2 linked regions of the Cricetulus griseus genome follow. The protein of the gene in region 1 binds, or shares a complex with, the protein of each later gene. Links are inferred from orthologs where the notes say so. Each region holds a gene or a part of one and is shown on either strand. Other genes may lie near its edges.

What was found.
Region 2: the proteins of Tle6 (region 1) and Ooep are in contact, whole or in part, in a cryo-EM structure (PDB 8H94), measured with the Mus musculus proteins. The link is inferred for Cricetulus griseus from reciprocal best matches to the Homo sapiens genes TLE6 and OOEP. Residues at the interface, in NP_444484.1 of Mus musculus: Trp256, Ser258, Phe304, Thr305, Arg306, His307, Val318, Asn320, Val322, Asn323, Glu332, Ser333, Asn354, Ser355, Arg356, Leu373, Ala374, Ala375, Pro376, Ser377, Leu378; in NP_080756.1 of Mus musculus: Arg32, Pro33, Trp34, Trp35, Pro37, Gln39, Glu40, Glu67, Trp70, Met71, Gln73, Gln94, Pro95.

The regions. Positions count from the first base shown.
Region 1 is NC_048598.1:102,345,780-102,358,325, reverse strand, and holds the start of Tle6 (transducin-like enhancer protein 6), read left to right. Parts: upstream 1-7,710; 5' UTR 7,711-7,890; coding exon 7,891-7,941; intron 7,942-8,741; coding exon 8,742-8,803; intron 8,804-9,118; coding exon 9,119-9,164; intron 9,165-9,525; coding exon 9,526-9,567; intron 9,568-11,649; coding exon 11,650-11,715; intron 11,716-11,805; coding exon 11,806-12,043; intron 12,044-12,129; coding exon 12,130-12,158; intron 12,159-12,276; coding exon 12,277-12,361; intron 12,362-12,441; coding exon 12,442-12,521; intron 12,522-12,546. UniProt on the Homo sapiens protein: Component of the subcortical maternal complex (SCMC), a multiprotein complex that plays a key role in early embryonic development.
Region 2 is NC_048597.1:189,440,197-189,456,406, reverse strand, and holds Ooep (oocyte-expressed protein homolog), read left to right. Parts: upstream 1-7,997; 5' UTR 7,998-8,187; coding exon 8,188-8,377; intron 8,378-8,534; coding exon 8,535-8,720; intron 8,721-9,004; coding exon 9,005-9,099; downstream 9,100-16,210. UniProt on the Homo sapiens protein: Component of the subcortical maternal complex (SCMC), a multiprotein complex that plays a key role in early embryonic development.

The sequences.
Region 1 (12,546 bases):
CCCCCCTCTCCACACCATCCCTTGCCAATAAGAAATAGCCACACTTGATGGGATGTTGGGAATCTCTGTTCTGGTTTCCCTCCTCCCACTCCAGACCCGTCGCCCTGAGAAAGCCCTCCAAGGGACAGCTTCTCCCCAGAGCTGATCAAGACCACAAGGTATTTAAACCCTGGTCACCAGCCAGGTGGTGGTGGCACACGCCTTTAATCCCAGCACTCAGGAGGCAGAGGCAGGCGGAGCTCTGAGAGTTCGAGACCAGCCTGGTCTGCAGAGCAAGTGCCAGGACAGCCTCCAAAGCTATACAGAGAAACCCTGTCTCGAAAAACAAAACAAACAAAAAGCTTGTCTCCAGCAACACACACTTCTCATTACAGAACAAACTCCAAAGTAAATACAATATAGCTGACATAGTACAAAACAGGATGTTTATTAAAATTTTTATCAGAAGCATAATAAAATATTAGAGCCCTGTGACTCTATGACTGAGGCACTTGGAAGGTGAAAACAAGGCTGGGCTTGGGCTAGGCTTGTGGCAGAGTACTCATCTAGCATATGTGCCAGGCCCTGGATTTGATTCCCAACACCCCCTAAACAAAGGAAGACAAGAAAATGAAGGTATTGCCATATTACTAACCAAAAAGAGGAGCTGGAGAGATGGTCCGGGGGTAAAGGATGCACACTGCTCTGGTAGAAGACCTATATTGTTCCCAGCAGTCACACTGGGGGGTTTGTACCACATCTGTGGTATCTGACACCACCCACCTCCAAAGACCATGCACCCACTTGTACAATCACACACACACACACACACACACACACACACACACACGTACACACACGCATGTGCACGCACACACACACACACAAAAAAAAAAAAAAAGAAAATTAACTTTTTAGAAATAGAGAAGGCCAGGCGTATTTTGTGCACACATGTGAGAGACAGAGATTGGGGTGGGAGTTCCTCTGAAGTTTGAGTCTTAGGCAACACAGTGGGATCCTTCTTCAGGGAGCTGGTGAGGGATTTCTCCCTCCTCTGAGGTCTCACAAAGAAAATCGATTAGGTGTCACAGCTAAGGTTTTCCCAGGTCGTCCAAGTAAGTGAAGGTTCTCACCAGTGTGCTTTTCTCCACTTACCAGAGGGTGCTTTCCACATCCATGATGCTCTTTCTGTGTAGGCTGAGCCCAAGAACCTGGGCTATGCTTGTCCAACACCCCACCACAGAGCCATACTCCACCAATGGCCCCTTAAAGATTCTGTCTAGATTTCCTTTTTTTTTTTTTTTTTTTTTTTTTTTTGGTTTTTCAAGACAGGGTTTCTCTGTGGCTTTGGAGCCTATCCTGGAACTTGCTCTGGAGACCAGGCTGGTCTCGAACTCACAGAGATCTGCCTTCCTCTGCCTCCCGAGTGCTGGGATTAAAGGTGTGTGCCACCAATGCCCGGCTAGCATGGATTTTCATATGACCTCAAAGGGATAGACATGAAGGCTTTCCTACACTGCTTGCACTCATAGGGTCTTTCCCCAGTATGTGTCCTCACGTGTGCATGATGGGACAAGGAAGAACAATATGCTTCCCCATGCCTGCTGCACAGATAGGGCTGACCCTCCCTGTGTGGTCTCATGTGCTTCCCACACTGTACACTCACAGGGTGGCTCTCCGTTGTTCGTCCCCATGTGTCTTTTAAGACAGGAATAGAAGATGAAGGTTTCCCCACATGCATGACTTTTCTCTCCTCTGTGACTTTTCGTGTGTTCCATAGAGGAGGAGGAACAGGAGAAAACAGTCCCACATTTTGTACATTCCAGAATCTTTGTCCTACTAGGAGTCTGTATGTTTTTCTGATGTTTTCCCAGAATCTTGACACTACTCCTCTCAACATCAGTCTGCATCTGAGGGTATTGGCTCAAAGCAAAATAGCAAATGCACAAGGTTTATTAACTTGTTCATCCAACCTTGACAGGGACCTGTCTAGCAAGCTGACACAGCAGCCTCCAGAGGGGGTGAAGCTCCCTGTCTACTGCTAGGTTTTAAAGACAAAAGTTACAGGATTGCATCAGTAGGTACGGGTTGGTTTCTGATTGGCTGACATTTGGGAACAATGAGGAGAATTTCTCAAAGTCATATTTTGGCATGAAATTCCTGTGTACTAGGTATTCTCATTGATCAGTGCTGAGAGGGAACATTCTGTGGTTTCTATCTATGGCTTTGTCTTGTTACTTGCAGGTGGCCTATTGTTCATAGATACCAGTAGTTTTTAGAACTGTGTCCTGGAGACTATAGGGGAGGTTTCAGTCTCCCCTGGAGTTTCTTTTGTGGCCAAACAGTTCCCAGGAACCAAGTACCTAGGAGGCTGGGGCCAGGGGTGGGGGTGGGGGGTGGGTCTGGAGTTTATGTTTAGTTTTGTCCCTAAGCTCCAGGAGGCCAGAGGATCCGGAGTTTCCTTGTGTCAGAGGCCTACGTGTCTTTTCTGTAGCCTGTCATGGCTGCTAAAGCAGGGGCTGAGTGAGGATCTGGTCCCTTTATTTTTAAATTGTTAGAAGTGAAGCCTTTTAGTTTAGTTTACCCCTTCCACTGAGCTTTGTAGTATCTGTGAGCTACTTCACACAGCCCACAGATTGATGCCTGCTGATGACACTCACAGACTGAGTCCACTTTCAGTCTTGGTGTCTGTTTTTAAATCTTGTCAGGGCATCATGGTTATGTGAGGGACATTCTTTCACATTTACAAGGATTCCAAGGGTCAAACTCAGGTTGCCAGGCATACGTGGTAATCACCTTCACCTGCTAAGACACCTCAGCACTTTGTATATGCCTGGTATACAAGTGTTGCCTTTGCATGTTCCTCCACAGCCATGAACGATATTAATCTGGCATCTGTGGCCTGATAGGAAATTCAAATGAATTGCCCTTCACATATGTGACGCTGATACCATACACACAAAATACTTCCTTGGCTGGGGCATGGTGGCAGAGGCAGGCAGATCTCTGAGTTTGGGACCAGCCTGGTCTACAGAGCGAGTTCCAGGACAGTCAGGGCTACACGGAGAAACCCTGTCTCAAAAAACAAACAAAAATGAAAATCCTCTGTGTACACATTTGTATGGACTGGGTGGAGCAGGTGGCCGGGTGCTCAGACACTTCCCAGCAAGCCTGCTGGCTGACCTGAGTCCAGTCCTGGAAGACACACACACACCGTTTGTGTTTTCAGACAGTCTCTCTACATAACCCTGGCTGGCCTGGAACCCACTATGGAGACCAGGCCAGCCTCGAATTTACCTACATCCACCTGCCTCTGTCTCTCGAGTCCTGGGGTTAAGGGTGTATGCAACATGCCATGCCTCCAGATACTACACTTTTAACCCATCAAGAGATTAATTCATTCAGTGCGGGCTGGTTTTGTGTCAAGTTGACCCAAGCTAGAGTCATCAGAGGGCCGTAGCTGAGGAGACGCCTCCATGAGATCCAGACGTAAGGCGTTTTCTAATTAGTGATCAATGTGGCTGCAGGTTCTATAAGAGCGTGGGAGCCAGCTGGCTCCACGGCCTGTGCTCACTCCTGTGCTGTTTGGTGACCAACGGCGATGTGGCCGTGCAAGCCTCATCAGCCCTCTGCTCCCCACCTGCTTTTGTCCTGGTGTTTTGTGACAGTGACAGGAGCCCTGAGACGCTGCTGTCCGCACGATCCGGCCCTCTGGAAACAACCGGGAGGGAGTGAGGGGCGCCCTGCTGTGGGTTAACCTGACTCAAGGTTCTCCATCTGCAGTTCATCCGCAGCTGCGGAAACGGCAGTCCAGGCGCGCACTGACCCCGTGTGGCAGGGGGCAGCGGGATCTGCCCCGGGGAGGGGTCGGGGCTGACGGCGCACACGCCAGGCCTCCGCCCGCCCCGACGCCCCCGCAGCCGCGCACGCGCAGCCGCTCATCTCGTTCCCATGGAAACAGCCCCTGCACCGTGACGTCGGTCGCCGACCTTTGACGTCTGGGCGGCGGCGTCGCCGGACACCGACGCGAGGCACGTTAGTCAGAGGGGAAGACCAGCTGCCTCAGAGACTGAGCCCCACTGTACCGCAACGTACTTCCGTTTCCGGACCGAGCAGCCTGGTCCAGTTCCAGTCAACTTCCGGTTTCTGATCCAAAGAATTTCCGGCCGCTTTCCCTGGACAAGGAAGCCAGGAGTAAAGAGGCTCTGTGATTGGTGAACTATGAAAGGTGGGCAGGACCATGCAATTCTCCAGTAGCCGGTCCCCAGCCGGCAGGGCCCGTCTCTGCTCGAGCGCGATTGGCTGCTGACGCTGTCAGAGCCCATCCGAAGTCAAATAGCGGGATGGGCGGGGCTTAGCCTTGGCACCGCCCCCAGGGCGTGGTCGCTCCCTAGCGCAGCGGTCATATTGAGCGCCGCAGGGCCGGCGTGGGGAGGGCGGGGGCGGGGCGGCGTGGGGAGGGCGGAGGGCGGGGCGGGCGGCGTGGGGAGGGCGGGGCGGCTTGCAGCCCAGCCGTAGGCCCGAGTTCGAGCCCCTCTGACGCCCCTCATGGCCTCTGTGGCTGCCGTGCCCACACACGTCCTCAAAACACACACACACAAACACACACACACATATATACATATATATATACACATACACACATATATACACACACATATATATACACAAACACATACACATATATATACACACACACATATACACATATATACACATATACACACACATACACACATATACACACATATATATACACATACACACATATACATATATATATACACACATACACAAACACACATATATATACACACATATGTACACATACACACACATATACACACAAACACACACATACACATATATATATATACACATATACATACACATACACACCATACACAGACACACACAGAGAACACTCCGTCATGGTACTAAGTTCCCCGGAAAGCGCACAGTATGACCAACAGAGGGAACTATTCCTCCTGACTGGCTTTTTTTTTCCTTTATTTTTTTTTTAGTTTTTTTTTTTTTTTTTTTTTTGGTTTTGTGTGTGTGTGTGCATGTATGTGTGTGTATGTGTATATATGTGTGTGAGAGAGAGAGAGACAAGGTTTCCCTCTGTAGACCAGGCTGTCCTGGAACTCACAGAGATCCACCTGCCTCTACCTCCCGCCCCTCGCCCCGCCTGTCTTCCCGGAGCGCAGCCACAGTGATCCCCCTGCATTCTCACATGCATGAATTTTAACACGGAATAACATAACGCGGGCTGCGGTGGGGCGGGGCTGTCTGCAGAGCGAGTCCCGGGACAGCCGGGCCGCAGACACCCTCTCCACAACTGCAACAAGCAAATGAAAGTTGGGGAAAACACAGTACAACATGAACACAGCAGCACTGCAGATCACGTCAGTCAGTCGTGAAATACAAACAGTGTAAGAAGCAGCAGGGCGAGCGGGCGGGCGGGCGAGCGGGCGCCGGGCCTGCACACCGAGTGGCGCTGAGGGGCCCTGGCGGCTCCTCAGGGGACCCAGAGAAACACCGCATGCTCACGCCCACTGGACGCCAGCGCGGTCTGCAACGCCCTCCTGTGACCTCGCCCGAAGCTGCACTCGCGTGCACCGGCCCACCAAACGGATACAATCAGCAGGAGAAACTGCATACAGTAAACGAGGTCATCACATGCAATGAACAGCATGTGCAGCACCCCGGCTCTCTATGACTGAAAACAAAGACAAAGGGGACTTTTAGAAAGTCTGTCGTTAATGCTGGGCAGTGGTGACGCGCCGCGCGCCTTTGGCCCAGCACTCGGGGCGGATCTCTGAGAGCTCGCAGGTCTCCTGCCTCTGCCTCCCGAGTGCTGGGATTTATTGTTTTACTTTTTACTATTTATTTACATGTATTGTTTACCTCGTAATACTATTGGTGTTCTGAGATAGGCTCTGCCTCTAGCCCAGGCTGGACCTGCACTCACGGAGATCCTGCTGGCTCTGCCTCCTGCGTGCCAGGACGGAAAGTGCGGCCCCACCCCACCCCACCCCACCCCCACCCCACAAAGAAGGCGAGACTTGTTCAGACAGGGGTGATGTCAGCGCCACACAAGGACCATTTTTACAGAAATATTTTACACGCCAGTGTAAAGTGGTCAGGGTGTCATACTAGGCACGACCGCCAGATGTCGCGACAGAGCCCCCTTCCCGTCAGCTTGGGGGCCCAGGGCAGCCGCCAGCCCTGGGAACGGAGATGTTACGGCCCCGCCCCGCTGCAGTGACAGTCTCGGCTGACGCGGATAACGATGGCGTGAGGACTGTGCAAAAGCCCTGGGCAAGATCAGGACCAGGGGAAAAAGAAAAACATTCACCTATACAGGGCTGGAGAGCTAGCTCAGCGGTTACCAGCACTAGCTGCTCTTGCAGAGGACCCGGGTTCGAGTCCCAGCACTCACATTGGCGGCTCTGGTTACACGGGATCCGACACCCTCTTCTGGCTTCTAAGGGCACCAGGCACATGTGCACACATCCACTAATTTGGGGGGGGGCAGAGGGTTGAGACAGGGTTTCTCTGTGTAGCTTTGGAGGCTGCCCTGGCACTCGCTCTGTAGACCAGGCTGGCCTCGAACTCACAGAGATCCGCCTGCCTCTGCCTCCCGAGTGCTGGGATTAAAGGCGTGTGCCACCAACACCCAGCTTTCAATTAATCTTTTTGCATTTTACTTTATGTGTACGTATGTTTTCCCTGCATGTATGTGTGTGCACCATAAGGCCAGAAGAGATCTTTGGATCCCCCGCAACAGGAGTGACACACCACTGTGAGCCACCATGTGGGTGTGAGGAATCGAACCAGGGTCCACTGAAAGAGCAGCCTGTGCTCTCAACTGCGGAAGATTCTCTCCAGCTCACCCAGATTAAAAAGAAAATCATTCCAGGTGTGTATGTGTGTGGTGTGTGGTATGTGTGGTGTGTGTGTGTGGTGTGTGGTATGTGTGGTGTGGTGTGTATGTGTGGTGTGTCTATGTGTGGTGTGTATAGTGTGTGTGTGTGTGTGTGTGTGGTATGTGTCGTGTGTGTGTGTGTCTATGTGTGGTGTGTGGTATGTGTGGTGTGTGTGTGTGGTGTGTGGTATGTGTGGTGTGGTGTGTCTATGTGTGGTGTGTCTATGTGTGGTGTGTATAGTGTGTGTGTGTGTGTGTGTGTGTGGTGTGTGCACGCACACGCGCGCGTTCACCTTCCAATATGAGGGTCCCGGGATCGAACTAGGATTCACAGGGCTTGGCCGCAGTCTCCCCCGCACCCCTGGCCTTCGGTGATTGACAGCTGAGCCACAGGCTGAGCAATCAGCAGCCCGGATCTGAGGCCCACGTGGGGCTGCGGCCTTCTGATTGGCCAACGCCTGCAGGGGCTGCTGCAGCCGCCGCGAGCCCACGTGCGCGGTGCCCGGGGCCCACGGGCTTCCCTCGGGGGCGCGGGGTGGGGCGGGGCAGGGCGGGGCCGGGCCGAGGGGTCAAATGGCGCAGGGCCCAGCAGGAGGGGCTTCCTGCAGGCCTGAACTTGGCTGACCTCCGCCGCCTCAGGGGTCCCGGGGCCTCCCGGTCCTGAGGCAGTGCGTGGGGGCCGCTCGCTTCCGGTAGGCAGTTTGCGCGGGCTGCGGGGGCGACGGGGCTATGAACCAAATGCCGTTCCTCTCTTCTGCTCATGTCTTTAAACGTGTTTTCCCTGTGCACTCGGTGTCTGCGTGTGCGTGCGTGCGTGCATATAAGACACACACACACGTGCACGCCTGGCGCCTCTGCTCGTGCTCTGGGGCCCGCTGCACGCGGGGACAGGGCGGCTCCTCCGGCCGGCCGCTCTGCCCCACCCCGAGCCTGCCCCCCGCAGGACTCCCCAGCGCACACCGTGACCTCCAGAACCCCAGATGACTTCCTGCAGTCAGCGCAGCGGCGCCAGCGGTGTCGCTGGAACTCTGGTGAGACGCGCGGAGGGCGCGGGTGGTCCCAGCCTGGCCCGGCGCCCGCTCGCCCGCCGCAGACCCCGCTCTGGGACAGCCCTGCACCTGGACCCAGCGTGCAGGTGAAAGCAACTCGGGAAGACCGGGCCAGGCTTCCCCAATGTCCCTCACGGGCCACTAGCGCGGGGCTTCACCTGGCCCAGGGCACGGTGAGGGCCCGCCCGTGGGGCGTGGCCACAGGTGCAGCCCCACCTAGAATCCGCCCCGGAGGGCTGGGGGCGTGGCTGGGTAGAGCCCCGCCCACCACGCTGAGCCTGCCTTCCATCTGTTAACACTATATTGTGATTAAAGTCATCCTTAATCCCAGCACTTGGGAGGCAGAGGCAGGCAGAGTTCCGAGTTCGAGGCCAGCCTGGTCTCCCTTCTCTGAAGGTCAAGGACATGCTAAGCACAAGTCTGTAACCATAACTGGGTTGGCTCCAGCCAGGGTAGAGTCTCAACGTGTAGCTTGCTACCCGCTTGGGGTCACATATCCGTTATCGAGCATATCAGCTATTTGCATTCCGATTCCTAACAGTAACAGAGTTAGTTGTGAAGTAGCAACATGGGGGTCACCACAACACGCAGAGTGCTGTTGGAAGCATCAGGAAGGTTGTGAACCAGGGTCTAGACTACAAGGTTCTACCATGGCTCCTGCATAGCTAGTCCGTACCCCAGGAGTTCAGGGACTTGGAGAAGCTGGACCTGACCGGCCACCTTGGGAGGTGTCTGGGAGTTGGTGCTGCAGGCTTTTTGGTTCTGACCTCTGACCGTTCCAGCCTTCCAACTACTCAAAGAGGTACTCCTGCATCATTGAACAGCTGCCAGAGAAGCTCAACAGGTGAGGCTGGCTTTCCTGGGGCTGGTTTCCAGTGAAGTGTTCCTTTTGGCTTGTTTTTAAGCCAGGGTGTTGACTTTTGTAGTCGTGCAGGCTGAGATGGAAGGGTGGCAAGTTCCAGGCCTGCCACCAAAGCCTATGACCAAATAAGCAGGGGCAAAGCCCTGTCTTGCAGGTGCAAAACCCTGTCACGCTTAAGAGTTCTGGATGGCACCTTCCCCTCCATTTATAGATTAGGCGACTCACCTTGTGGGTTCTGCCCTAGGGCAGATGCAGGGACTTTTTCTAGAAGGATCCTCAACTGCTTCTCCCCCTCAGCATCCTCTCTGAGATGATGGCCCAGCTAGACAACCTCTCCAGCCTGGTAAGCCACCCTGGTGGCCGGCAGCTGAGGGGCATAGCTATGACAGGAGGGGGGGATGTGGGCAGCAGGGAGGCTGGCAGAGGAGCAGGAGGGCCTTGACGGCTGCAAGAAAAAGTTGGGCTTTGATTTCCCATTGAAAACAATATAGTAAGTAGTAGTTTAAAGTATTTTAAATAAAAGTATTTCATTTAAAAGTGGAGATGAGCAGCTGGAAGGTGCACACCTGTCATCCCAGGATGAGGAGCTGGAGGCAGAAGGACGGGCCTCTGCTATAGTGTGTTGGAGGCCAGGCTGGGCTCCAGGAGCCCCTGTTAGGATCAGAGAGGGGAAGCAGTTTGCTCAGGGTCTGCTGTGATTTTAGGTGTCCAAGGTCAATCAGTCCTTCGAAGAACACCAAAAGCAGGTGAGTTGGGGACACCTTCTCTCCCAGGGGGAGGGGTGGAGATAGGAATATATGGCGTCTTTGATTCCAGGGAGGTGGGAGGAAGTTGATTTATATAGAGACCTCGGGTCTAGCTGTGGCCCATTTTTCCTGCCCGGGTGCCACGTGCCCTGGAGCTTCTGGGTAAGGGCTGCACACAGGTCCTATGCATGAGGGGCAGGCGGGCCTTCGAAGGGGTGCCGGGCTCTTCTCTCCCACCCCCACCCCCTGCCCAAGCCAAGGCACGTGTGTCCTCATTCACCGCCTCTCCTGCCACCTGGCCCCTTCTCAAGGGCACTGGCAGGAAGGAGGCGCTGCTCGGGGCCAGATGTCACTGGCAGGGAGCCAGGGCCAGGACTGCAGCTCAGTGAGGGGCGGGCGTAGGGGGTGGGCAGCGGGGAGGGGTGGGCAGGAAGCCGCCAGAACACGACTGTTCATTCACAGTGCTCAGCCACCATTGGCCGGGCCAGCAGAGATGCCAGGGGAAGAGCTCTAGGACTGGGGACCGAAGCGGGGACGGTGGGTGGATGCCAAGAGCTCCTGGGCAGGCGCTTAGGGGGTCGGCTACAGCTCAGGGTGCCCAAGAAGACGCACTGAGTAGGTCAGCAGGGGCAGAAGGGATGCTCTTGTTTGGGAGAGGGACGGTGTCCAGGCAGGAGGAGGAACAGCCGCTCTGCAAAGGCTGCTGTGTGAGTGGCAGGCAGGGGCCAGGCAGAGCTTGGGGGGCTGCAGGAAATTCTGGGCCTTGACTCCACCCGGTGAGCAGTAGGAGTTCTGGAAAGCTTAGTTGGAAGAGCGAGGGGACTAATCAGGCCTCAGGTGCAAGGGTGAAGAGCCAGGGGCTGGGCTCTAGTCATTGAGGGAATGATTGACAGGTGCGTCGGGTCAGCCACTACAAGCAGGTTGTGATATCCCAGGCAGCTCTCAGTAGCTTCTGTAAGGACTCAGGTATTATGCTGGCCTGCCCTGTCACCTGGCAGAATACACTCAGGCAGTGCCTGGTCAGCCCAGGGTTCCTTGGGTACTTAGAGAGACCTCCGCCCACTCAGGCTCTCTTTCGCTCTCTTTCCCTTGTTCCCTGGGGCAGACAGGACTTTTCCTGTCTCCCTCTTCTGTCCTATCTGACTCTTTATCTTATTTTCTTACCTCCCCGTTAATAAAACTTTAAATGTGAGTCACGTCTACCTACAGGTCTGTTTCCCCATCAGCCCACTGTCCGTTGCCCGCCTTGGGACCGGGAAACCTGCTACCTGCGGTCCCAGCCCATTCTTTATTCCTAACAGCTCGTGGCTTCCCCATCCCCCTTGCTTTTATCGCCCCCAGCCTCACTCCCTGAACTATCTCTGCAGCACAACCCCCCCTCCCCCGGGAACAGCAGGAGGGAGCTACGGGCTGGCTCTCCCTCCATTCACTCTGAGCGCCAGGCGCACTAAAGTGCCAGTAAATTGCACATTAATGAGCCAGGGGGGACCGGGAGGGCTCCCCTGGGCTTTGTGCAGCCCCGGGCGGGCGCTGCCCTGGAATCCATCATCTCCTCCCTGGGAGGCAGCCCCCTGGGTCCCGTCCTCCATCCCGGGGGCTCCCCCTCCAAGGGGAAGGGGGTGTCCACAAAAGCCCAAAGGGGAAGGAGCAAGGCTGCTAAAAAATAAAAATAATAAAAATTTTTAAAAGCCGCAACCCATGGCTGCTGTTTGAGTCTCTGGCCTCAGTTTCCCTATGTGCAAAATTACACTAAGACCTTTAATCTGTGCTGGGGACGAGCCCCTGACCCTTTGTACTCAAGGGCTCCAACCTGAGCCCTAATTGTGCTGTTAATTGCTTTTTTGAAGTTTTTTTTTTTGTTCGTTTGTTTTGAAACAGGATCTCAAACTCAGTATGTAGCTAAGGGTGATCCTTCTGCCTCACTTAGCCTTTTCGGGGAAGGGTGGGCAGGTGTGCACCGCTATGTTTGAGTGTGTGGAATGGGTTTATCCCCAGGTGCAGAGCTCCAAGAGCATTGCCACATTCCCCCTACCTACTCCATAGTCGGTGCCTGCCGTGAGGTTTGTCCCTAACTTGTTCTAGGTGGGCAGCCTCTTCCAGCTGATGGAAGTCTTCAGCAGGTCCCCGACCATCCTAGAGATGGTTAAGGTGAGTATCCCCCCTGGAGCTGGAGGGGAGTGGGGACAGGTACCCTGGGCAATGCCGTGTTACTCACTAGGCTCCACGGGCTCTATCCAGGCTGCCCAGGTCTCCACTGAGAAAGAAGCCAATCAGGGTCCAGAGGCTATGGCCTCCCAGGACCCCAAACTCAAAGCCACCTCAGGACCTCCGCCATCCACCAGACCCCGGTGCCTCTCAGAGACCGAGGAGCAGCAGGACCCACAGCCCGTGTGGGACAAGGATCCCCTGTTCTGGAGAGACACCCTGACCTGGGAACTCTTGAAACTTTTCACAGAGAACCAACAAGGACAGGAGGGTGAGGCTCTGCACTTACTGGTGGGGGGCGCCTTGGGTGTCCCGGCAAACCTCATTGCTCTCCATCTCTCTCCTCCTCGCCCGTAGTCACGGTGACAGAGAAGCTGCTGGCATTGGTGAGTATCCTTGGCTGAGAACCTCCTCCCATCCCCTCCCACCTGATCCCTGCACTCTGACCTCTCGGGGATCCCGGCCCCAGCTGGGTCTCCCTGCCGACACAGTTCTGTCTCCCAGGAAAGGAAAGACACTGGCCGGCGGAGTATCTCTGAATTACAGCTGGAGCCTGACCCCAGGCACAGGAACAGCCAGACTGACTTCTGTAGGAAGGCAGGGCCACGGAGGGGCGGGGGATTGGGCGGGGCCACAGAGGGGTCCCTGAATCCTGCTGTCTCCACATAGACACCATCCTGACCGAGACTCCCTCAGATCTGCTTGGTGGTTCCCACAGAGACATCAGCCAGCCCCAACATGAGACCCAGGTGAGGGGACACGGATGCGGGCAGT
Region 2 (16,210 bases), on another chromosome or scaffold:
AGGGACAGACAGCTCTGCCAACCAAAGTGAAGACATTAACATATGTTCCACATGCAATGTATAGCACTGTGCTCAGGCAAAGCATGCAAAGTAAGCAAACACTCTCTCAAGACTGGCTGCCGAGCCTCAAAGCTGAGCACTTACTAGACACTCTAGAACAGTTCTGAAGTAGCCAACCTTTCTCTAAAGACCTCACATTTTGGTTTTTTATATTCAGAATGTTTATAGGCAGGCCTTGTGGAATTTTTTGGTGCCCTAATGCAAAGAACTGACAACAGAGGGAGTGCAGGAACTGGACTGCGTTCACGTGGCTCTAAGTAGATTTGGATGCTGGCCATCAGGCCTCATACATTTAGCTCTTACTGTCACAGTCTGTGTAATGTGTGTCAAGTGGAAACTGAATCCTTGATCTTCCTGAACCCCATTCTGAATTATAAAGCTGTACTTGAAGGGAGTCATGAGAGCAAATGTTTGTCAGGGCAGTTATCAGTTCCACTCTGTTTTCCTGCCATGAAGCTGCCATGACTTTCTCTGTCGTGACTATGTTCCCAGTGTCTGCAATTTTGGGACATTTTTGCTGGAGGCGTGCCAAGTCCCAACAGGGCACCAGTGAAACTTCAGCAAAGAAGCAACCAAAATTGAACAAAATACCTAAAGGTACTGTGCAAATCCAACAATAAGGATAAATTATGAACAGCCGTTATAATTATCATCAATGCTATATGCAAAACTAGGGAGAGGTTTAGAAGAATTTAAAACTATTTTTGGTTCTCAATTCACAGTTTGCCAGTAGAAATTCAATGCCAGAATTTTAAGATGAATTTAAAAGTAAAATTGTCTTGAATAACGCCTCCTGTGTTATTATATATGCTTTGGTTAATTTTCAGAAGCCTAGAGCATCTAAGATGCACTGCAGAGGGCAAAACTGGTGGCAGTCTATTTTCTCATGCTCACCAATGTCACTCCATGAAACATAATACTTTGAGTATTGCTGGTCCATGGTTTGTGAGCAGGTAACCTTGAGAATTTGTATTCGAGACTACATGGCATGAATTGTAACTCAGATTAGTTCTGGGTTAGTTCATCATCTATTAGGCTTAAAGTGATCATTATGAATGATGGGGTACTGGTGGCAGCTGGATGGCAATTATCAAGTGCTCAGTTTTCCCTTCCTTTCATGTTCCTCACTGGGTCTCTGCTTTCACTGAGAAAACTCCGTAAGTTACACAGCCTAGGTTGTAGAGCACAGCCACACACAGCAGCCTGATGTGTGAGCTAAGCAAGCACTGCTTTCAGAGAATATCATGAGTCACAGCATCCATGATTCTCTCTTGCTCTGTGACTTCCAGGTTCCCAGGAAAGTCATATTTAAAAGAAATTTTTATTCAAGAGGAAGAGTTTATAGCCTGTGAACAGGTATGATCAACTTTCACTGTCTGAAGCAGAAATCCTGCTCTCTCTCTCTCTCTCTCTCTCTCTCTCTCTCTCTGTCTCCCTCCCTTTCTCCCCCTCCCCCCTGCTATTTCTGGCTGAGTTTGAATATGCAAACATGACAACATTCATTATAGATACTTGAGTCTGTTTTCTTGAACAGTAAAAGAGCTGGAGAGATGGCTCAGAAGTTAAGAGCACTGGCTGCTTTTCCAGAGGTCCTGAGGTCAATTCCCAGCATTCACATGTTGGCTTACAACTATCTGTAATGAGATCTGGTGCCCTCTTCTGGCCTACAGGCTGACAAGCAGACAGAAGACTGTGTACATAATAAATAAATCTTAAAAAAAAAAAAAAAGAAAAGAAAAAAGAAAAATGAACAGACCCTTAGCAACTGGTACCTTAAGCACAAGGGCATTTGCAAAGGGCAGCATGCAAAGGGCTACACAGTATATGGTAGGCCTGCTCCTCCTTGTATACAATATCTCTTCCTAGTATTCAGCATTATGTAGTAGATGTCCTAATAGGATTTTCTAGTGAAATATCCTATCCTTATTTCCTGAGCCTTGTTTTTTTTTGGCTTTTTGAGACAGGGTTTCTCTGTTGAGCTTTGGAGCCTATCCTGGCACTCGCTCTGGAGACCAGGCTGGTCTCGAACTCACAGAGATCCGCCTGCCTCTGCCTCCCGAGTGCTGGGATTAAAGGCGTGCACCACCAACGCCTCTTCTATTGCCAAGGTTTCTCCTATCTACTCAGTGTTGAGGAAGAGAAACCAAACCATATGTCACTAATTTGGGTGACACGGTCCTTCTAATGTCTCTGTTTCTGTGATTGCAGGAGCCCTGGGAAGAATATCAAATTGTGAGTATGCTAGAATTCCTTGGTGGGGGAAAATGTAGGTGCTGGGTGTGGCACCCTTACTGAATCTTTGAAGGGACACTTACTTGTATGTTCCTGGAAGGGAAAGGATAGTCAATGTGTTGAAAAACAAAATTGATTCTCTAGGCAAAGTTGTATCGTCAAGTTCTCCAGTTGTTGGCAGGAAATGCACTCACCTTGAGTCTATGAAAGGTTGTGTACTTGAAGAATGCAGAGTTCTTGTGCCCCTCGTGGTTCTGAATGTGTGTGTGATGTAGTATAAGGTTACATGTTTTTTTTTAGGAAATATTCCTACTTGTACACAGTAGTTGTTCTCAACCACTTTCTCAAATACCCTGGCAAACATACTTTTCATGAATTTTATATACTTCAACTCATCCAGTGTATGGTTCATATGTACCTAGGAACTGTTACTTCCATTGAAAAGAGCCTCCACTGCTGGGCATGGTGGTGCACATCTTTAATCCCAGCAGAGACAGACAGAGCTCAGTGAGTTCAAGGCTAGCCTGGTCTACATAGTGAGTTCAGGAGAGGCAAGGCAGAAATACCATGTCTCAAAACAAAGTACTCTCCACTGTTCCATGAATCACAAACATGAGAAGAGATTTCCACAGAGGCACGATCATTCAAGTAGAATAAAACACAACTATACTTTGAGCTTTCTGGTCAGTTCACAGATTCTTTTTTGTGGTGATTTGAAAGAAAATGGGCTGTAAAGGGAGTGGCAGTGGATAACATGCACAGAGGATAGCAAGTACTGTGGATAGCAGTAGTTATCTGCAGAAATGTTATCCGCAATGCTATCTGCAGTGTTTGTTATCTGAGGTGCTTGTTATCCACAGTGCTTATATCCATGGTGCTTGTTATTTGTGGTGCTTGGAATCATGCCCTAGGAACTGGTCCCATGTATAAAAGTTGGTGAAATAGTTTAGTACACATGATAACATAATCATGAGCAATGCAATGCTTATATGTGACTTCTTTAAAACCCTAAGGAGAAGCCGAGCATTGGTAGTGGCAGACAGATCTCTGTGAGTTTGAGTCCAGCCTGGTCTACAGAGCTCATTCCAGGACAACAGACTCTAAAGAGACTCTAAAGTCACACAGAGAAACCCTATTTCAAAAAGAAAAACAAACAAACAAACAAACAAAAAACAGGCTTGAAGGTGGCAGCCTACTAAGAATCAGTAAACATGGCCAGAGTGTTGGCACACATTTTTAATCCCAGGACTCACTCAGGAGGCAGAGGCAAGAGGATATCTGTGAGTTGGAGGCTAGCTTGGCCTGCCAATGAGTTCCAGGCTGGCCAGAGCTACAAAGTAAGACACTGGCTCAAAAATCAAACAGCAGCAAAAATGCTAAACGAGCAAAAAGGGTTGATAAATATATATTAAGTTTTAAAAGTAAAATGCTTTATAAAAGCAGCAAATGCATAAGTTATAGCATAAGCCAACATTATACTGTATATAATATTAAAAACAATTTTTGGGGGGGCTGTGTTTTGAGACAGGGTTTCTCTGTAGCTTTGGAGCCTGTCTTGGAACTCTCTGTAGACCAGGCTGGCTTTGAACTCACAGAGATCCACCTGCCTCTGCCTCCTGAGTGCCGGGATTAAAGGCATGTACCACTACTGCCCGGCTCAAAAGCAAATATTTAAATGAGATATTTTGACAGCTATTGAGCAGAACAGAAGAAGGGACTGGACTCTGGCTAGTATAATCATACCTCTGTTTGTACAGCAATTCCCCATACCCCAGTCCTATTCCAACAAATGTACCAGTCTGACTGCTGTGGTCAGTGTTCACTCCAAGCTGTCTGTAAAGTGCACTGTGGCATGAATATACGCAATCATATAACCATGACAGCAGTGTGTCACAGATGGTGAATTTACAATCTGTACTGAGATGTCTGACTGTTCCTAGGTAGGCAAGTGGGCTTATTCAAGTTCAGCACCACACGTAAGAGTAGGTGACTTCTGTTGATATTATATATACCCTATTCCCTAAGTAAGTGGGTTCCTGCATGTGTCATACAGTGAAGGGAACTGTAGGAAGAGATAAGAATGAGAACCCCGTGCAGACTGACTTCATCAACCTGGATCAGACTTCAAGGAGTCTAACACCAGGCAGTTCATTGTCTGTGGCACCCGAGCCACAACTAAGTCCGAGTATTGGGCAAAACCTGGAGATTTAGTTAAACACAGAGATGTCCAGCCACTTGTGCTATGTGTGTCTTTCCATCTTCATTCATCTGCCCATTTTCTAGGGAGAGAGCAGCCTTATATACACTTACAGCACAATGGAAAAACCCAAGATATAAGAGCTCCTGGAGCCAGGCGTTTGTGTCGCACGCCTTTAATCCCAGCACTCGGGAGGCAGAGGCAGGTGGATCTCTGTGAGTTTGAGGCCAGCCTGGTCTCCAGAGCGAGTGCCAGGATAGGCTCCAAAGCTACACAGAGAAACCCTGTCTCAAAAAACAAAACAAAACAAAACAAAAGAGCTCCTGGAAGAAGAGCTCGTGTTTTCTCAGGTGTAGTGGGGCAAGGCTGGGGCTGTAAGCCAGGACTAGAACACAGGATGCACCTGTGGTTATTGGCTGACAAGCAACTCACAGAGACCCTGTAGGGTCTAGGACCCAACAATTGTCAGCATATTTAAGACTCGGTGCAATTTTGGAAAAGGTTTTCAGGCAACAATCAGTCCAATTCCAGGTACACAATAAAGCTTAAGGTATGACTGCATAGAGACCATGTGGCCATGAGGGGTTGTTCTCTAGCTAAAAGGCCTAGAATCTAGTGTGGTCTCTGACAGATAGCATAGAGGTCAGCAGCCATGAAGTACATGAGGGAAGAGTCTCAAATAATCATTCTGGGGGATTTGGGTGAGGTCTGCCACCACAGATAGCAAGGTCACCAAGTCATTAACAAAATCCACTCCTCAGCTTTCTGGATGGAATGCAGGTATTTGATTTTTGTCTTCTCCACTGAGGAGACACCCCTGCATTCCTGGTTCTCTTAGGGCTTCTCTGTGAGCACAAGGACCTCTGGGCCCCCAACATTTTCTCACTTCTAATTTTTAAAAAGAAAAATAGTGGCCATAATAGATGCCAAGATTGAATGCATCAACTCTTTTTTTTTTAAGATTTATTTATTTATTTATTTATTATGTATACAGTGCACCAGATCACATTACAGATGGTTGTGAGCTACCATGTGGTTGCTGGGAATTGAACTCAGAACTTCTGGAAGAACAGTCAGTGCTCTTAACCCCTGAACCATCTCTCAAGCCCCTGAGTGCATCAACTTTTAGCTAGTCAAATAATATAAGCAAGAATAAGATAATTATTAGAATAGCTAGCAGTGGACTGAGGAAAGGGGAAGTCATCCTTAATTCACCCATCTCTTGATTAATTTCTGCTAATATTTTTTGCTGTGAGCAAAATGGGTGTAATACAGCTATGACAAGGCCATCATGCAGTGCTTCTAGACCTAGGGGCTCTCAGGGAAGACCAGTAGGGGTATAGATGAAGAAGGGTTCCATGGGAGGTAACCTCTGAACTGCACCTCTAAGGGCCAGTTACTCCCTAACCAAGGCCTGGCCGTGAGCAGGAACAGAATGTTAGAAAATTCCAGAATGCATAGAAAAGTAAAGCCAAGACAAACTAGCCTCTGGAGGAATGATATTAGGAGACTCATGGCCATAAACAATCATGATGAGACCCTAAAGTGGGTATCATTTAGGGGAGAAAGTATCATGGCTGTAAGTAGCCACAATGTGGCCCTGAAAGGACACAGTCCCTTCAGTTTCATAACACAAAGGTAGTTTCTGACTATCAGGTTTTCAGAGGCTGTGGTCAGGTTCTAAGCCATGTGACCTTCTCAACACTCTGCTGAATACTTGGCTATGCTTTTAAGTCAATAGGAATTCTAGGCCTCTGATGGCTGTGTGCTACTTCTGTTACCCACTTCTGCTCCAGATCCCCTCAAAGCACAGCCAGACATCATCTAACAGAGAACAAAATTGATTGCTCCATGGCAGTATCCCTACCAAGACATCTATCGACCATTATAAACTACATGAAAGAGCAAAGTACATGCTGTACAGATGTAAAAAGTTCAAAATGAAACACCTCATTTTGTAATTAAGAAATTGTAGGTAATTAAGAAATATGAATTAGGAACTGGAGAGATGGTTTAGCAGTTAAGAGCACTACCTGCTCTTCTAGATGACCCAGGTTCAATTCCTAGCACCCACATAGTGGCTCACAACTGTAACTCCTGTTCCAGGGGAACCAACAGACACACGTGCAGGCAAAACACCAATGTACAAAAAAATAAGTGAAACTAAAAGAAATTATATAAATATGAATTACTAGCTAGGTGTGGTGGTGCATGCCTTTAATCCTAGCACTCAGGAGGCAGAGGCAAGCAGATCTCAAGTTGGAGCCCAGCCTGGTCTTCAGAGCAAGTTCCAGGACAACCAGGACTACACAGAGAAACCCTGTCTCAGAAAAAGCAAAGAGTAAAATTTAGAGAAAATAGAATGATGTCTCTCATAATAATCTGGTGCCTGAACTGAAATGCATTTATACTGGTTCCTTCCAGGGATGACAGGGAAAATGAAATTGTTGGAAGTCTTGGTTGTAGTTGCTCAGTTTGGGTTGGGTACAAGGAGCATACATTAGGCTACAGGGAAAATGAGGGCACAATAATCACATGACCTCCACCTGCCTCTTAATCACTCTCAAACCAAGACACCTGGAGGTAAAATGGTGGCACACCTGACTCAGCAGCTCCTGTTAAACAGTAAAAGCATTTTAAATCTTTGGAGGCTGGCATGGGCTTATCGAGTAATATGCAGTAATAAATATTTGGGAAACTAAGATTCCAAAAACTCTGCCTCCAAAACAAAAGGAAATCACAACGCAACTGTCATCCGAATGAGGATGACCAGGGTTCTTATCTTCCTCACATCTTCACAAAACTGATTCCCACAAACAACATGGTAGCTAGTCCCAGCTCCCTGTGGGAGTCTGAAACTACAGAGACAAGGTACATATGGGCTTGGTCTATGTTTGTGAAGTAGCCTCAGCTGGGAGCATCTCAGGAGACTAGCTCAAGTGAATGTATGTACCTATGGGAGCTTCAATGACATCTCTACCTCATGCCCAATAGGGACCCCAGTGTTCCAAGTTTCCAGTGGTCAGGTAGACTTGTCAGCACTGCTAACAGAAGCAGAGTGGAGCTCAGGACAGAGAGGATTCCTCTAGGAATCAGCAAGACATACAAACCTTGCCAGGTATCATTGTATTACGGTTAAAAATGATTTTTTTAACCTTAACCAGAAGATACCTACAGAGAAAATAGCAGTTTAGACTGAAAGAAGAAATTCATGCATACATGACTTAGGAACTTAGAAATAAATGAAATTAGTCAAACTTGTTATGTGTTTCAGTAACCACTTCTGCCATTTAGTTTAAAACATGGCACAATTGCATAAAAGACTTCTAAAGGCAACCACAGTTCAGAGCTGGAGAAGACAGGACACAGCGGGGGTGAGGGGGCATTCTACAAACCCTCCTAGCTCGCCCTGGAGCCCATATGGATCTTTGAAAGTAACACGGAATTAACTAGACCACTGGAGTTGAGTTAAGTCAAGTCACCAAATTAAATTTTCAGAGCCAGCAGTATACTGGGCAGGGCTAGGATGCTGACAGTCTGAAGACCCGACAACCCCGCCCCCTCAGCCATGGCCCCAGCTGTTACTCGCTCTGACTGGGGGCGTGGCACACAAGGGGCGTGGCCGGACCGCACATTGAAAATCTCGGCTGTTAGCCCCGCACCGTAGTATCTCGTGATTGCAGTCTGAGAGTCCCAGTATGGAACCCAATGCTACTGAAGATCACGCGGAGCAGAAGAGTCCAACGCGGAACCGTCCTTCTAAGAAGCAGCTCAGCACCCCTTCTGTGTTACCGCGGCTTCACGTGCGGCCCTGGTGGTTCCCAGAGCAGGAACTCAGCGATCCTCTCGTGCTGTACATAGAGTCCTGGCTGGCAGACGTAATCTTTGGTGAGCCTCTAGGGGTCTGGGTTAGCTCCCTGTATTCTATAGGGGCAGCAAGTCCATACCTCATTCCCCAGCCCAGTATTCCATCAAGTCCATCAGAGCCTGCCCCTTCCCCCGCGAAGTCGTTCTACTTACTGATCAGACTCTTCTACCTTTTTAGGCCCAAACCAATCCTTACTCCCCGAATTAGAGTGGATAAGCCAGGCTTTGGTGACAATGGACATAGTTGACTCTGGCAACTTAGCTGAAATCACCATTTTTGGACGACCCGCCGTAAAGAATCGATTGAAAATCATTCTCTTGAACCTGGTAGCATGGCACAAAGAAAACCGCCACATTGTAAGAGGTAAGGGCCTTTGAAGACCCTTTGAAGCCACAGGACGATTCCCAGCTTCTGGAAACTTTCTCACAACTTCAAGTTTCCAAACACCAGGCAACCGTAGTGTCCCTGGGGATCCCTTTCGGAGGAGACCCTTGAGAATGAAAGCACAGGCTGGATACACCCGGGGCCATCACCTTAGGTATCACTCTTCCCAGATTCCAGGTCCAGGACCAGAGCCGCCTCCCTTCCCAATCAGGGGGAGTAGATTCCATTTCCCCTCTTGACTGGTAGTGTTGTCCCTCTTTCAGCTATGAAGATGAAAGAACGTGAGGAATTATTGAAGTCCTCTCCCTCCAACTCAAACAACCTGCCTGAGCCAGTGCAGAAGGCACCTGCTGACTGACAGGCAGCCCGACTTCAGCCCCTGGAGGTGAAGAGCAACATGACAGATTCTTATAGTCACTATACTTGTTTTCTTTCTTGCCTTTGTGGATACCTGTTGGTTTTCCTTTGCAAATAGCAGTTTGTAGAACTATTCTACAATGTAGAAATGACTTTTTTCATCACATACAATAAATTTAAAAGCATCATAGCTATCAGTTGATGTGAGGTGTGTATAGGTTGTACTCCTGCAATTTCTAATACACAACTTCAGTCAGGCCCTCGAGGATAACTTTATTAAGTGCAGTGGTATTTTGCCTGTAGGTATGTCTGTGGGAGAGGTGGAGTTACAGACAGGCGTGAGTTGCCATGTGGATGCTGGGACTTGAACCCAGGTCCTCTCAGTGCTCTTAACAACTGAGCTATATCTTCCCCAGCCCCCAACCCCTTTGTACACACCCCACCCCTCAGGACAGGATTTCTCTGTTTAACAGTCCTGGCACTCTGATTTGTAGACCAGGCTGGCCTTGCAGAGATCCACCTGCCTGTGTCTCCCGAGTGCTAGGATTAAAGGCGTGTGCCACCACTGCCAGACCCCTTTGTACTTTTTTTTTTTTTAAATTTTAAGATTTTTATTTATTATGTATACAGTCTTCTGCCTGCATGACCAGCAGAGGGCACCAGATCTCATTCAAGGTGGTTGTGAGCCACCATGTGGTTTGCTGGGAATTGAACTCAGGACCTCTGGAAGAATAGCCAGTGCTCTTAACTGCTGAGCATCTCTCCAGCCCCCCCCCCTTTGTACTTTTTACCTGGCTGATTTTTTTTTTAAACAACCTGCTGGCTGTTCTCCTCCTTCCCCTCTTCCCTACCCCACTTCCCATGCACTCCTCAGTTTCTCTTCAGAGAAGGGCAGGCCTCCCATGGATACCAATCAAACATGGCATATCAAGTTGAAGGCTGGATGAGGCAACCCAGTATAAGCAATACGGTCCCAAAAGTGGACACAAGTCAGAGACAAGCCCTGCTCGCACTCTTGGGAGTGTATAAGAAGACCAAGCTGCACAACAGTAACATACATGGTCCCTCTGCAGTGCCCAGGTCAGTTCCGTGCAGGCTCCCTGATTGTCTGTTCAGTCTCTGAGCCCCTATGAGCCCAGGTTAGTTGATTCTGTGGGTTTTGTGTCTTTGACCCCTCTGACCCCCACAATCCTCCTGTTCTACAGGAGTCCCAATTACTTAGTTGATTTAAGGCAGTGGTTCTCAACCTGTGCGTGGAAACCTCTTTGGGGGTTGAATATCAGATAATTTGCAACATCAGATATGTTTAGACTCTTAACTGTAGCAAAATTAATTACGAAGTAGCAACAAAATCATTTTATGGTTGGAGGTCAACACAACATGAACTCTGTATTAAAGGGTTGCAGCATCAGGAAGGTTGAGAACCACTGATTTAAGGTGTGCAAGAATTCACTTTGGGAGTCCTCAAAACAATGTCCCAGGGATTCCTGGGGATTTGCATCTCTAACAATCTCAGTCTGTTGAAACACCCCTTTAGGCCAATCATCTGTAGCTGCTGGAGGGAGGGGGCAGGCTGGCCTGCCGAGTTGCCAAGAGTAGTCCTTGAACCTATCAAGCCACTCCTAGGAGTTGTAGTAAGAGCTCCAGGTTGCAGCTTTCTTGTCATCCATGTTGGGTAGCCATGCTGCAGATGCTTTTGAGTCACCACTGCTCCTGTAAGCCACCCTCACCCAGACTCCTGTAACTCCAATTAAAGTCATTGGTTCACCAGTCAGGATTTGGATGCAGTAATAACTTTGGTCTGTTGTGGGTTCCCTTACTTCGGTGAGTAGACTGTTCTGTGTCACCCTAGGATAAGTCTTTGTCACAACATCCTGATGTCTGGGATATGATACATACGTTCTTCATGGACCATGACACTGTGATGGTCAGTCTGTAGGACCACACCTACCCTTCCTGTCACCACTTTAAGGAAGTGGGATTCCTGGTACAGAAAGTACATGAGGCCTGGCTTGGGGACACAGGCCTGTAACCTTGGAAGCAGAGGCAAGCAGATCTGAGTTCAAGCCCAGACACAAACCTAGTAACCAACAACTTCATATTGGAATTAAAGATGAATTTCTGTTTAAGCCACCTACTTTGTGTTATTTTGTTGTGGTAACCCAAAGGTTTTTTTGTTTGTTTTTCCAGACAGGGTTTCTCTCTGTAGCTTTGGATCCTGTTCTGGAACTAGCTCTTGGAGACCAGGCTGCTCTCAAACTCAGAGATCCGCCTGCCTCTGCCTCCTGAGTGCTGGGATTAAAGGCGTGTGCCACCAACGCCGGGCTTCAACACTATGATCTAGGTAGGACATGGATGCCCTGCTTTTTAAGTCAGTGCTGGAAAACAAACTTGGTTCCTTGAGTTTTAGCAAGTGCTATACCTACTAGCTGTATCCCAGCCTCATTCTGTTAGTCTCCCACAGCCTAGATGGGGATGCTGGATTGAAACATATCCACTCTGGAACTTAATATAATTGATATATGGCAAAGAATGACTTTACGTTCCTGATCCTCCAGATTCCACCACCCCAGACTGGGATGAGAAGTGTGCATCACCATGCCTGTTCTACCCTGAGGATATTTAAGTAGAGTGAGGCTGGGCCAAGTTGGTACATGCTTTTAATCTCAGCACTCGGGAAGCAGAGACAGGTGGATCTCTGTGAGTTCAAGGCCAGCCGGGTCTACAGAGTGAGTTCCAAACAGCTAGGGTTACAAAGAGAAACTCTGGCTGGGTGGTGGTGGCACATGCCTTTAGTCCCAGCACATTGGAGGTAGAGGTAGGTAGGCAGATCTCTGTGGATCTTTGAGTTGGAGGCCAGCCTGGTCTACAGAGTGAGCTCCAGGACAGCAAAGTCTACACTGAGAAACCCTGTCTGGAAAAACCAAAGAGTGCTCTATCGTTCTCTTCTTCACTTCTGAAGATCCATGTTAGTTACATATTAGCTTTATGCCAAGCACCTAAACTGGATGCTTTGAATGCAAACACCTGACTCAGCTCCCAGAGCTGGGACAGCAGCACCAGGATAAGATATGGACAAAAGCAACAATTCCATGATGCAGGCCTAGCTGTGTCTGCCCTTCCATTTGCTCTTTCTGCTTTATGTGTGCTGTGTGTGGAGTGAGGAGTTTGCCTAGGCCACAAACCTGTGCAGAAGTCTGAGAGCAGCTCTGTAGTTGGTTTCCTCTTTCCTCATACCTTCTATGTGCTCTTGGGCTCATATTTGGTCATCAAGCTAAGGAGGCAAGCTCTTCACTGCAGAGCCATCCTGCCAGACCCTCTTTTTGTTTGAGCATGTACAAAGATTTTATTTGACCAAAAAACTTGTTGAGGAACAAGTAAGACAATATAACGGGTCTGAAGGATGATACAAAGGACAGAGAAGGAAGGACACAGGCTATCACACATGCTGAAATGGGTTTGCTAAACAAATTGACCAACTACACATACACACTTCTGCTACATTTTCCATGTAAATTAACAGCTGCAAAGCCCTTTTAAGCCCAGTTGTTTCTCGGCCATTATGCTGATTGCAACCAGATTTTGAACTCAAAACAACTCAAGACACCTTCAAGACACCTGAGTAGAATAACAGCTCAGAAAAGGTTTCCAAGGAGTAACTCAGTGCTGCTCTGTCCAGAAGCCAAGCGCACTGGGCTCTAGAAGTATCCGGAAAGCCTCTGAGCTGCAGGGTTCCTGGGTAGGGTTTTAATGGTGATGGCTAGGTCCTACCTGCCCCAGGGAAGACAGAAGCAAAGTTCAAGAGCTCTTGGCTGCTGCAGGGGGAATGATGTTCCCTTCCTTTCTTTCTTGCAGGTAACAACATTTGCCATTTAAGCCTTTTTTTTTTTTTAAAGATTTTATTATGTATACATTTTGCTTCCATATATATATCTGCACACCAGAAGAGGAAACCAGATCTCATTACAGGTGGTTGTGAGCCATCATGTGGTTGCTGGGAATTGAACTCAGGTCCTTTGGAAGGGCAGTCAGGGCATTAACCTCTGAGCCATCTCTCCATTCCCCCATTTGCCATTCTTTTTTTTTTTTTTTCCGAGACAGGGTTTCTCTGTGTAGCTTTGGAGCCTATCCTGGCACTTGCTCTGGAGACCAGGATGGGCTCGAACTCACAGAGATCCACCTGCCTCTGCCTCCCGAGTGCTGGGATTAAAGGCGTGTGCCACCAACGCCCAGCCTCCATTTGCCATTCTTGTTTGAACATTTTCAGCTCATGTTTCCAAACATTTAGCACAAGGTGTGTGTGGGGGGGAATGGGGATTCAAAACAGCGGACTCCACTTTTCCCAATGTCTAGGGCAGAAACAGAAGTACTAGGAATGGCCGCTGGAGATTCCCATAGGTCAAAAAAGAGCTGGGTTCCATTCTCATGGATTCCCTGGAAAACTTGCTGAGTGGCAGCCTCTGGGAACTACAAGGAGTGTGTTTGGTGACTTCAAGGACTGCTGTGACTGTCTCAGGGTTTCTTTTGCTGTTACAGGACTGCAGATGCCTTTAATCTCAGCACTCGGTAGGCAGAGGCAGGTGGATCTCTGTGAGTTTGAGGCCAGCCTGGTCTACAGAGTGAGTGCCAGGATAGGCTCCAAAGCAATACAGAGAAACCATGTCTCTCTGGAGAAACTCACCAGGACCAAACCAACTTGAGCAGATACCCTGGGAAGCCAGGAGCTGATACAGAGACCACGGAGGAGTGCTACTTACTGCTTTACTCTCCGTGGCTTAGCTTTTTATACATCACTCCATGATCACCTGCCCATGGCTGACACCACCCACATGGGCTGGGCTCTCCCACATCAATCCCTAATTAAGAAAACGCACTACAGACTTGCCTACAGGAAATCTTTTTTTTTTTTTTTTTTTTTTTTTAAAGATTTTATTTATTATGTATACAGTCTTCTGCCTGCATGACCAGCAGAGGGCACCAGATCTCATTCAAGGCGGTTGTGAGCCACCATGTGGTTGCTGGGAATTGAACTCAGGAAGAACAGTCAGTGCTCTTAACTGCTGAGCCATCTCTCCAGCCCGCCTACAGGAAATCTTACGGAGGCATAAACTGAGAGTTTTCCGGGATGACTCCAGATTGTGTCCAGTTGACATAAAACTATGCAGGATGATGGGAGAGCTCTGTCTCAGCCTAGTGAGCCAGGGGAGTATTGTGAGGGATGGGAAGATGTCTCAGAACTTAGCAGTACTTGCTTTGTCTTGTAGAGTACCCAGGTTCAGTTCCCAACAATTTCACGGCCACTCAAAAACAAACTCCAGTTCTGGGGGATCTAATGCTCTCTTCTGGCCTCTGTGGCCACAGGCATGAAAGTGGTGAACAGAAATACATGCAGGCCACACTCAAGGGCATGGGGGAAAGAAAAGCGGTGTTGGTTGGCCCCACCTGTGTCAGCATTCCTTGCCACAAAAAGTTTCCCCTGTTAGCTCCAGGAGTAAGAATCAAGGATTCCCAAGCACAGCCATTTATCTTTCTAGATCCTTCCCCCAACTCAGTCTTTTCCTAAGAGGTTATTTCCAAATGAGCCAGGATTGGCTGGTGCTTTGACCTGGGTAGTTTGTAGACATGGTCAGTTAGCTAAGCTCAATGTATCTTGTGGTAATGAGGCAGCCCTGGTACCAAAGTTTCAGGCTTCATGGTTCCTGTACTCACCTTGAAGCATCGTATGGGTAACACCAGCCATACAGGATATCCTCTGCCTTTATCTGAACAGGAAAGAGGGAGGACAGAAGAGTGGGTGGCTCCACAGAACTTGGGGAGCCGAGAGAGGGGATGGCATGAAAATTGGGCCCCAGTCACTGGAGAGGCTTTCATGGGGTGACATGCCCCAGTGGTCTCAGTAGATGTATTGTCAGGGGCCTCTGCCTTCCCTTTCTTGTCTAGTCAGCAAGCATTATATCCACCAGTTAGGCCTCTAGATGACCCGCTTTTGGACTCTTTGGGTACTAAGTATATAACCTGTCAGACAACAGGCAAAAGTCTCCCAGCACCTGAAATAATGTCCCTTCTTATTGCTGAAGTTAGCTGTTTGAGGCCTCTTGAGAATGGCCCTGTGCTGGAGCAAAAGCAGAGAGGCTAAGATTGGTGGCCCTGGCCTGTAATTCTAATCCCAGCACTGGGGAGGTGGAGGTAGGAAGATCTTTAGCTACAGAGGGAATCAGGCCAGCCAGCACAGCAGCATGAGTTACATGAGCTCCTGTTAAAACCACACACACACACACACACACCAAAAAGAATGAAGTCTGGCGGTGGTGATGCTCGCCTTTGATCCCAGCACTCCGGAGGCAGAGGTAGGTGGGTTTCTGTGAGTTCGAGACCAGCCTGGTCTGCAAGAGCTAGTTCCAGGACAGCCTCCAAAGCCATAGAGAAACCCTGTCTCAAAAAACTAAAAATAAATAAAATAAAAATAAAAAAGGATGAAAACTACAGGAGAGTTGAGAGTATAGATACTTGGTTTTGTGTTGGAGCTGGAGAGATGGCAGCAGTTTGGAGGGCTTCCTGCTCTTTCAGATGATCCAAAGTTTGGTCCTTAGTGCCTGTGTAATCCTCTGAGTCCATCTCCAGGGAGTCTGACCTCTGGCATCCCTAATTACCTAAACCCACATGCGCATACCCCCACACAGCATTCCTAGCCACCGAGCCCCCTCTTTTTTGTTGTTGACAGGGGAGCTCACAGCACAGCCCAGTCTAGCTTTGAACTCAGGCTCTTCCTATCTCAGCCTCTTGAGCGCTTATTCCAGCCACTCCGCAGAAATTTCTACACAACTTTGTACTGTAGTCCATATTTGTTTTCCCCATTGCGTTGAAATAGTCTCAAGTCAAGAATACTTGCACAGCATTTTACTGTCCTTTTTGTCTACCAATAAAAGGTCCCTCTGACTTCCTTTGTTACATCACAATTGATAAACCAGTTTTCCCTTTGTCTCACTGTCTCTATTGTAAAGCAATGTCCTACTTCCAGACTCTTTCTTTTTTGTTTTTTGTTTTTTTTGAGACAGGTTTTCTCTGTCACTTTAAAGGCTGTCCTGGAAGGAGCACTTGTAGACCAGGCTGGC